Regions from separate parts of the Mus musculus genome. Here region 1 is reported to be linked to region 2. The links are microRNA targets in miRTarBase. Many come from high-throughput screens and were not tested one by one. Region 2 holds a microRNA gene; the other region holds the end of a gene's coding sequence.

Evidence for each region. The annotated mature microRNA mmu-miR-15b-5p reads UAGCAGCACAUCAUGGUUUACA and lies in region 2 at 1,248-1,269, opposite strand. An mRNA with a match to its seed (bases 2 to 7 or 8) in the 3' UTR can be bound and repressed. Matches are read on the target gene's strand: a 7mer-m8 pairs with bases 2 to 8, a 7mer-A1 pairs with bases 2 to 7 and ends in A, and an 8mer does both.
Region 1: miRTarBase lists Bicd1 as a target of mmu-miR-15b-5p. The part of its 3' UTR that is shown has no 7-base or 8-base seed match.

The regions. Positions count from the first base shown.
Region 1 is chr6:149,549,848-149,554,255 of GRCm38, reverse strand. Bicd1 (BICD cargo adaptor 1) reads right to left here. Exons shown (of 9, transcript NM_009753.4): 8 at 3,831-3,906. The coding sequence ends at 3,859. Gm38931 (a long non-coding RNA gene) reads left to right here. Exons shown (of 3, transcript XR_869630.3): 2 at 3,247-3,356. Among named protein-coding and RNA genes, the nearest start is that of Gm38931, 2.4 kb to the left of the region's middle.
Region 2 is chr3:69,006,636-69,011,043 of GRCm38, reverse strand. Mir15b (microRNA 15b) reads right to left here and starts at 1,272; the gene lies at 1,209-1,272. Smc4 (structural maintenance of chromosomes 4) reads right to left here. Exons shown (of 24, transcript NM_133786.4): 3 at 3,677-3,855; 4 at 2,924-3,115; 5 at 1,384-1,560. Mir16-2 (microRNA 16-2) reads right to left here and starts at 1,142; the gene lies at 1,048-1,142.

The sequences.
Region 1 (4,408 bases), not on the chromosome of region 2:
TATTTAATTTATATATTTAATATATTATGTCCAAGGTTACATCATTTCCCATTACATCATTATATATAAAGATTTAAATAACTTAGAATAGAATCAGCCTGCAAAAAGTACAAAAATTTTGAATTATATTTATTGAAATGACATACTGTGCTCTTACCTTATATTTCGATATTATTTTGTGGTGTTTTCCATGCCTTGTATATTACTTATATAGATTGTGAATGATAATTCAAATAAAAACTCTAATCAATGCTAAAAAACAAAGTACATAAATGTTTGATATGGTGGCATACACCTACAGTTAAAGCTATTTGGATGGTTGGGGCAGGAGGATCACTTGAAGCCTAGAGTTCAAGGAATTCATGATAAGCCTAAACCACATAGGAAGACTATGTTTCAAAAAACAAAACCATATGTGGAAAAGTTCTACATTTTTAGTGTAAAAACACTGTTTATTAAGAAATTATACACCTTAAAAGTTATGTGAGTAGATTACATATGTATAGCCCTGAATTTGATCTGTAGTACTAAAAAAAGTTACAAAAATTACATAAATATATACATATAAACAGGAGGGAAGTAAACTTTTTTTTTCAAAATGAGAAACTCAGCTGATCTGAACTCACTCAGCATTCCTAGAAAATTTTCTCATGTTTCACTGAGAATCCACTTTTCAATTGAAAGAAACTGAGTCAGCATAACTTAAACAGGCTTTCTTTTACCAACTGTAGGTACAATGACTGGTTCCTTATCTGAGGTGCAGCCATGCTCTACAATGGACAGGGAATAGGTGTTAGGTCACTTGGCTCAATTGTATTAAAAAAATATGTGGCACCTGACAGTTGTTTTGTCTGCCTAAACCTAGACTTCTTCCTTTAGAAAAGTATAATAGCTGTTTAGCTTATACAGGAATCGCAATGACTAACACATGTGAAGAATTTACCCTTGCCTGGTACCCAGTAAGAGTTCTAATGTTGGTTGTATATTGCCCTTCTTGCCCAGAAGGAGTAAGAGGGCAGTGCAGAACTGACTCTGATCCTCTCACAGCAGAAACCATTCAGAACCCAAGCCACCCTGAAGAGGACTCCTTTCAAACCTCTACGCATTAATAATTTCTTTGAGTGAACTATAAAAAGAAAGAAAAGTCTGCTTTGGATATGCTATGTCTACTTGGATAGAAACTAGGGTGTCTGTAATTCTCTAAATTGTTTTTCTTTCAACAAATCACCCCCCATGGAGACAGGAAGCACCTAAATTTAGTAATCTCAGAACAGAAGGAATACATCTGCACTACTGCCTTATGGAAATTCTTTTTTTTTTTTTTAAAGATTTATTTATTTATTATATGTAAGTACACTGTAGCTGTCTTTAGACATTCCAGAAGAGGGCGTCAGATCTCATTACAGATGGTTGTGAGCCACCATGTGGTTGCTGGGATTTGAACTCAGAACCATTGAAAGAGCAGTCAGTGCTCTTATCCGCTGAGCCATCTCGCCAGCCCATGGAAATTCTTAAAGCAGTAGTATTACAACTCTGTCCAAGAAAACTAGATTTGTCACAAAATAAACAAAATTTTGGTCAGGGATGGCAATGTACAAAGTGTTAGTGCTAACAGCAGACAGGGCAGACATGTCAGGCCCTTCATCATTGAATTCCTCCAATGTCCATTTTCTTCCTTACTTTATAAATCATCATCATCATTGCCAACAGAAGCAATTTTCCAAGATTACACATGTAGGTATGTAAGAGGTAGAATTACAAGGTAGAAGTCTGACTCCAAAGCCCATTTACTCACACATGTAGTCTGCATTCATGGAGCATCTGTACTGCATTGACACTACCCTAGTGCCCCAATTGAGGGAGGCTGCTTTGTGGAATCTAGACTACAGGTGTCCGGGTCTCCAAACACTATACTATACTATAAAATCCCTCTCAGATCAACTTGAGCATTCATACTAATATTCAGTTACTTATATAATTGAAATTATACAGAACTGGCTACTACTATAAATGCCATCAATACATTAGTAAAGAACATTTCTGAGGGGCTGGGGAGATGGTTCAGTAATTAAGAGTATATGTTATTCTTGCAGAGGACCTAGGTTCAATTCTCAGTACCCACATGGTACTTCACAACCATTCTAACTCTGCTTCCAGGAGATCCAATGCCCTCTTCAGACCTCCCCAAGTACCATGCATACATGTGGTGTACATAAATATATACAAACAGAATACACATAAAAAATAAAGTCAATAAATAAAAAAAAAAGAAAATAGTTCTGAGATAAATAAAATAGTTCTGAGATAAATATCCTCTTACTTGAAGTGGTATTGATCAGCTTTCTAAGAGACATTAATCAGAAGACACTGTCTAGTGACTATTTATCAATGTACTTTGGGGGCTGGGAATGCAGCTCAGTAGTAGACCCCTTGACCTAACATATGAGAGAGCACAGGTTCAGTCTACAACACTGGGGGCAGTGTTCTACTTACTTAGGCAATAGACCACATAACATACTAGCTTTGGATATATTGTTTCTGTATTGGTGATTATCCAGCAAAGGCAAGAATACATATAGTCTGCAAATAACAGCTACTCATCTTAGACACACACATGGAATCATGTTTGAGCTGATCCTTGCTTGATACAAACCCTCCTCTGGTAGGAGAACAAAAGATACATTTATGTATATTAGTAAGTAGACTCTAAAGATCATATCCAGATTCCAGAGGCTTGGTACCAACAGAAACCAAGTAAATGAGGATGAAAGACACTGTGGAGATGAGAAAGTTCTGATGGGATGATTCTAGGCCGTGGGTAGTCACTTAGGATGGAGGGAACTAGAAACTGTTTTGGACAGCTTAAAAATCAAATATGAACTGTCAGCAAACTCTCCTCTCAGTGCCTAGGAACTCAAGGAAGTTTTTTTTCCTGTTTGTTTTGTTTTGTTTTGTTTTGTTTTGTTTTGTTTTGTTGAGTCAGGGTTTCTCTGTATAGCTCTGGCTGTCCTGGAACTCACTCTGTAGACCAGGCTGGCTTTGAACTCAGAAATCTGCTTGCCTCTGCCTCCCAAGTGCTGGGATTAATGGCATGCACCACCACTGCCTGGCTCAAGGAAGTTTTAAACATGCCTTTAAAACACTTCATTTCAGATAAAGGGAAAATAATCACTGCAAATATTCTTTTGGGAATTCAGATTTGAGTTTTTCTCTCCATTTTCCTCCTTTCCTCTTTTTCTTTTATAGATTTTGAAGACAGCTATTCTGTATCAAAAGCTGGCCTTGAACTCACTATATACCTCATTCTGATTCAAACTCCACCTCTTACCACAGCCTCCAAACTGCTCAGATTACAGGTATGTACTACCACAAATGGCTTTTCAATTCAGTTTTAACAATGGGACTGAGTAAACAGAAAATGGAAACCATTAAAACTGTCCTAGAATGGACATCAGATAAGTTTTATATATAATTTCATATATTTTCCCTGTTTGTTTACCTGAGAATTGTATTTGAAGGACAAAAAAGTAAAAGAAAAGTAGGTCAAATAACTTAACAATTACATGTTTAAGATTGGAGGCAATGAAACACTGGAATAATTCAAGTATTTTCTCACAAAGGGGAAATGAAGCAGCCTCTATTCTATCAACTAGTGGTTGATGACATAGCACTAACTCCTGTGCATGCTCATTGGAAATATGAACAAGGGTGAAGTCATGTAGCCAATTCATGAAAAACATGCAATAACATAAAGATGCATAGGTAGTTATGGTCTTGGGAAGGGGAGCTGACATGCAGCTGGTGGGAGAAGGAAGGACCTGTGAATTTACCTGACCGTTGGGTAGTCTTGCCTCCCAGCTAGTTGTGAGCACTGTGGCGGTACGGAGGCAGCAGGCTGCTGACAATCTACAAGAAACTAATAAATTAGACATGTATACAAAGAGATGACACAATGGTGTTAGCAACAGTAACTAAATCAGCTGCCTGAGATTTAGTGAGGAACGGGAACGTTTACTTAGAAACATCTAGATTAAGTGTGGTTTTTTTTTTTTCTTTTGTGGGTGTGTTTTTTTCCTTGACTAATGCCAATAGAAAAGACTGAATTTTTAATTAATGTCTTAGAAAAAAACTAATGACATAAAATTAGTAGCAAGATTTTAATAGTACATTATGTCCTATGGCCATTCATATTTGGTGTTTTGATTACTCTAAAATCAGAATCTATTAATATTAAAAATTCTAACTCCTGAACTTGAACATAATGCTGATTATTTAATTAGCAAACAGATATGCTGTTCTAAAATGAAATATATTCAGGAAATAGATTTTATTGTCAGGGCATATAGTAATATTGTTAAACACAGATATTTTGAGAAAGCCAAACAATATTTTATTAACAAGAAATTAA
Region 2 (4,408 bases):
GTATAATTCCCTACAAAACTGTTACCACCATTAAATTTAAGATTATAAAGAAATACAACTTTTTATCCAATTAATTAAGCCAAATTCCTGAAAAAATGGAAATCTATAAACAGTACAATTCATTTAAAAAACAAAGCAAAATACCTACAGTGGCATAAGATTACAGCTATATAAATCCAAATCTTATTTACACATATATCTGCAACTGATTCTTTTCAATATTTACTTTTAAGTAACACTGGTTCACTAAATTATTGTAAATGCACTGTTCTGATATTTAAGGGGTATTCTAGAAAATTATCATTTGTCTTTTATACTGTGTATGCCTCAAATAATAATAATGCCTTAAGAATATAATGTGAAATTTGTGAAAAGTATGTTAGTGGAACACTTAGTTACACAACAGAACATTTTAAATCACATTGAAACTCCCAACTTATTTTCAAAATCAGTAGCACAAGATGTACTGTACAAGGCACAGCTGCTCTGCATAACAATCTCTCTTTTTACATTTTATTTATGCTCTTAGTAGACTGGGATAGTATTTTAAAAAAAGCCTTTAAATCAAAACAGCAATTTCATAGTCCCTAACAAGGCTGTATTTAAAAAAAAAAAAAAGTAGGAAAGACAAAATTTTCCTTCTGTTACACTATCAGAATATACTTTTACTTCCATAATCACACCAAAAGTGGAAAAATAAACAAACAAGCAAGCAAAAAGCAAGAAACAAATAAAATACAAGGTCTAATAATAAAAAAAAAATACCAGGAACCTAGTGTTTATATTTCTAAGAACTGATACTAACAGTATTGGTTTAAGAAATTAGGTCCTCATAAACAAATTAAATTCACCCAGAGTAAACCTTTATGCAAGTATAATGTTAAAAATATTACATTAGGTACCCAGGAAAACTTGTTGTGATATCAAGTATATGGTTTTTATATTATTTTATATTTAAATATCAATAAACAAAAGGGACAGATTATCAAAAGATTTTTATCTAAACTGTTATCTTAAAGGGAAATAACAAACAGAAATGAGTTGCTATATCCCTGTCACACTAAAGCAGCACAATAATATTGGTGTTTAATATTTATTTCACTACGCCAATATTTACGTGCTGCTAGAGTGGAACAAGCATGTCAGATATCCAAACATAATACAACTGTGATGGTACCATATAATCTTGAATGAATTTCCTTAAATTTCTAGAGCAGCAAATAATGATTCGCATCTTGACTGTAGTATGTAAACCATGATGTGCTGCTACAGTACTTTAAGGTTCCAAAAGACAGGACTCAGCAAACAGAAGAACACTCTTTCAAGCTTTAGTACAAGCCAAAAATCAAAAACCAAGAACCTTGGAAGAATTTTTAAACGTACCTGCAAGATTAAAAATCGATTATGGTCTAAGTCAATGCCATGGCTTCTAAGGAGATTTCCAACATCTTTAAACGTCTTCTTCTTCCCACTTATGTGGTAGACAGAAGTGCTATCTCTGTAGGCGGTTCTGGATACATAGAAGTTGCTGTTAGGAAGGACTTCGTAATCATCTCCTTCCTGTTTTTAGGAAAAACAGAACCCGAAAACTGTTGGTATTAAATCACAGGTTTAATCCAGATTTCATTTACTTTATACTGATACTAATTCAACAGATTAAATATTTTTCTTGTATTCTTTAACAGATTCAGATGTATATAACGAATTTTAATCCTTTTCACCTATTGCTTGTTTTATTTCCCCTGAATTATGTATGGCCATAGGCTGACAACCATTTTAAAGTGAGATAAAAAATAAATTGCTTTACAAAGGACTAGATACTTCTCCAAGTTGTTTGGTTTATTTCTCAAAAATCTCTAAAAGTTTAAACCAAGCAAACACAAATTTCAGCCTATTCAAAATATATCTGAATGAGAGCCAAGGAAGGCGAACAAGACCTCAGCATATCTACAACAACCCACTCCACTCAGATAACCTTGGTGACTGTTAAAAAGCTTCAAGAAGAAACAATTTAAGGAAAATATTTAGGGGAAATACTTTTCTGGTAGTGGTAGGGTCTGCGAGTAAAGATTGTGTATGATTGTGTGTGTGTGTGTGTGTGTTTGTGTGTGTAGGGAGACAGGATTCCCTTTCCTAAACAGCATTTCCTATCATTAATTAGAAGTAAACCATCATAAAAATTTGCAATCATATACATAATAAAGGAAATCAAGTTATAAGTCCATCTTAGCATTAAAGTTCATTTATTCTTAAAAGGCTCCGTGTCATATTTAATTTTGGATTAATTAAACAACAGGTACTAGACTATCATGACTTATTGGCAATCTAATTCTCTAACTCAAATGTGCAACAGAATGAATTCAGAAGCAAAATTCTGATAGATGCTTCTGTGTAGTTAAATTTCTTTATATGTAAAACATCCCCACCAGCATCCAATTATCTGTTACTTTACTATGGGCACTTATTTTTTAAGGTTCTTTTCCGTTGCTTTTTGAACCATGAATTTTTCTAAGCTATTAAACAGATGCCTGTCCCCTACCATTTCAAAACATACTTCATCACGGTAGTTCAAACCTTAGAAAATTTCATCTCTCTCTCTCTCTCTCTCACATAGCTACTAATTATTACATTTTAGAGTCAATTATTGCATTTTAAAAATTAAAATGTTTATCCTAAAGCAAAAAAATGTACAACTTTTCAAATGAAGCCCATATTTATAGTGAGTGAATGCTGAATTAGCACTTAGGGCCCCTACATCACTGTATTCTTCCAAAAAGCTGAAGTAAATATGTTCACAGAAGCAAAATCCATTTCTTATTGCTCTAATTATACACAAAGTAAAATAAAGAACAATTCAGATCTACAATAACAAAATGTGGCATGTTTCCTTTTCTTGCTTGAAGGTGCAAGTAGAAAATCTTACCTTATCAATTATCTTTTGAAAATGAACTTCTACAGTACAACTCTGAATATCCTTGTGTTCATCAGAATTATGTATCAGTACCGATAGCTTTTTAGACCTTATTTTTTGTGCTCGATAGCCAAACACAAAAAGCATGGAATCAATAACATTGGATTTTCCACTGCCATTTGGTCCAATAATACAGGAAAAGCGCTGCATAAAAGTAAATTTTTAAAAATTTAAATAGTCACACTTAATACTAATTTTAAACTACTCCATAATTTAATTTGTAATAAAAATCAAAGGTATCATTAAAAGTTTTCATTAGAAGATAAACACTTTTTCTTTCTTTCTCTTTAGAAATAAAAGCAGTTTATTAAGAAAAGGAAAGCACCCTAGGAATGGAGTGGGCCAGGGAACTGAAGGAAAACACAATCTGAGTTTTCTTACATCATGTTCTTCAATAGCACAAGCTTCACCATTTAAATAAAAACCACCTTCAAATTCTAATCCCGACATTTTACAAAACTCATTAGCACAGTCAACGGGGAAAACATTCCCTTCTAACAAAAACAGATTCCATTCAATATGCAAATATTGCTAAAGATATACCAAAGACATCAGATAAAGAAAAACTCATTCCTGTTGTTGAAGTCACAGGCAACATACTGTCTGTGCGTCTATGAGCATATGTGTGTAAAGAGTCAGGACCGTTAGAACACTGAAATATCTTGTAATTAAAGATGTATTCCACGTTATCTGAGCAGGCAGTACCTTATGGAAAGGTCCCAGAACTTTCTCTCCAGCATAGGACTTGAAGTTTTGGTTTACAATATGAGTTATCATGAGACGAGGAGCTCCAGCTTCACTGGCCATGGCTGGAGGTGGGGGTGGAGGGATACTATTCAAAATCTCCTCTAAACTTCTGTTATCCAGCTCCTCACCTGGAGGCTCTAGGTTAAGGGAGAGGCAAAGAGGGGAAAGCCTACATTAGTGTAATTAGTTGAACGTCTATCATCTGCTAGTATTTAAAGAACACAATGGAGGGATGTTACTTAAAGAAACCTAGGAATTTATCTTCCATACAAACATATCCTAAACTCATGGGGATGGATAATCCTTCAGATTAGTTTTATGTAAAATAAAATTCGTGAAAGCAATCAGACCAGTCACAAAATGTGTGGTATACACATTGTACTTAGAGGAGTCAAAATACTCAATATACCATAAAGAAAACCTTGCAACAAACGGATTCCCTGATGCAGGAGATGCAACCCTAACAATCGAAAATCCAACTCTCCACATGGCTCAGCTTAAGAAACTCACAAACTTCAGTAACATGGTGACAGGAATTTCACAGTAGCTCTTAATTTCTACCCTCCGCCTGCTCTACGCTCTCAATTATACCTTCTCTTTAAAGGCAATCTAGGGGGCCCAGCAATTTTTTTCTTGTGTAGAACCCAAGTTTGGTTTTCAGCACCCACAATGGGATGCTCGAGGTTCATG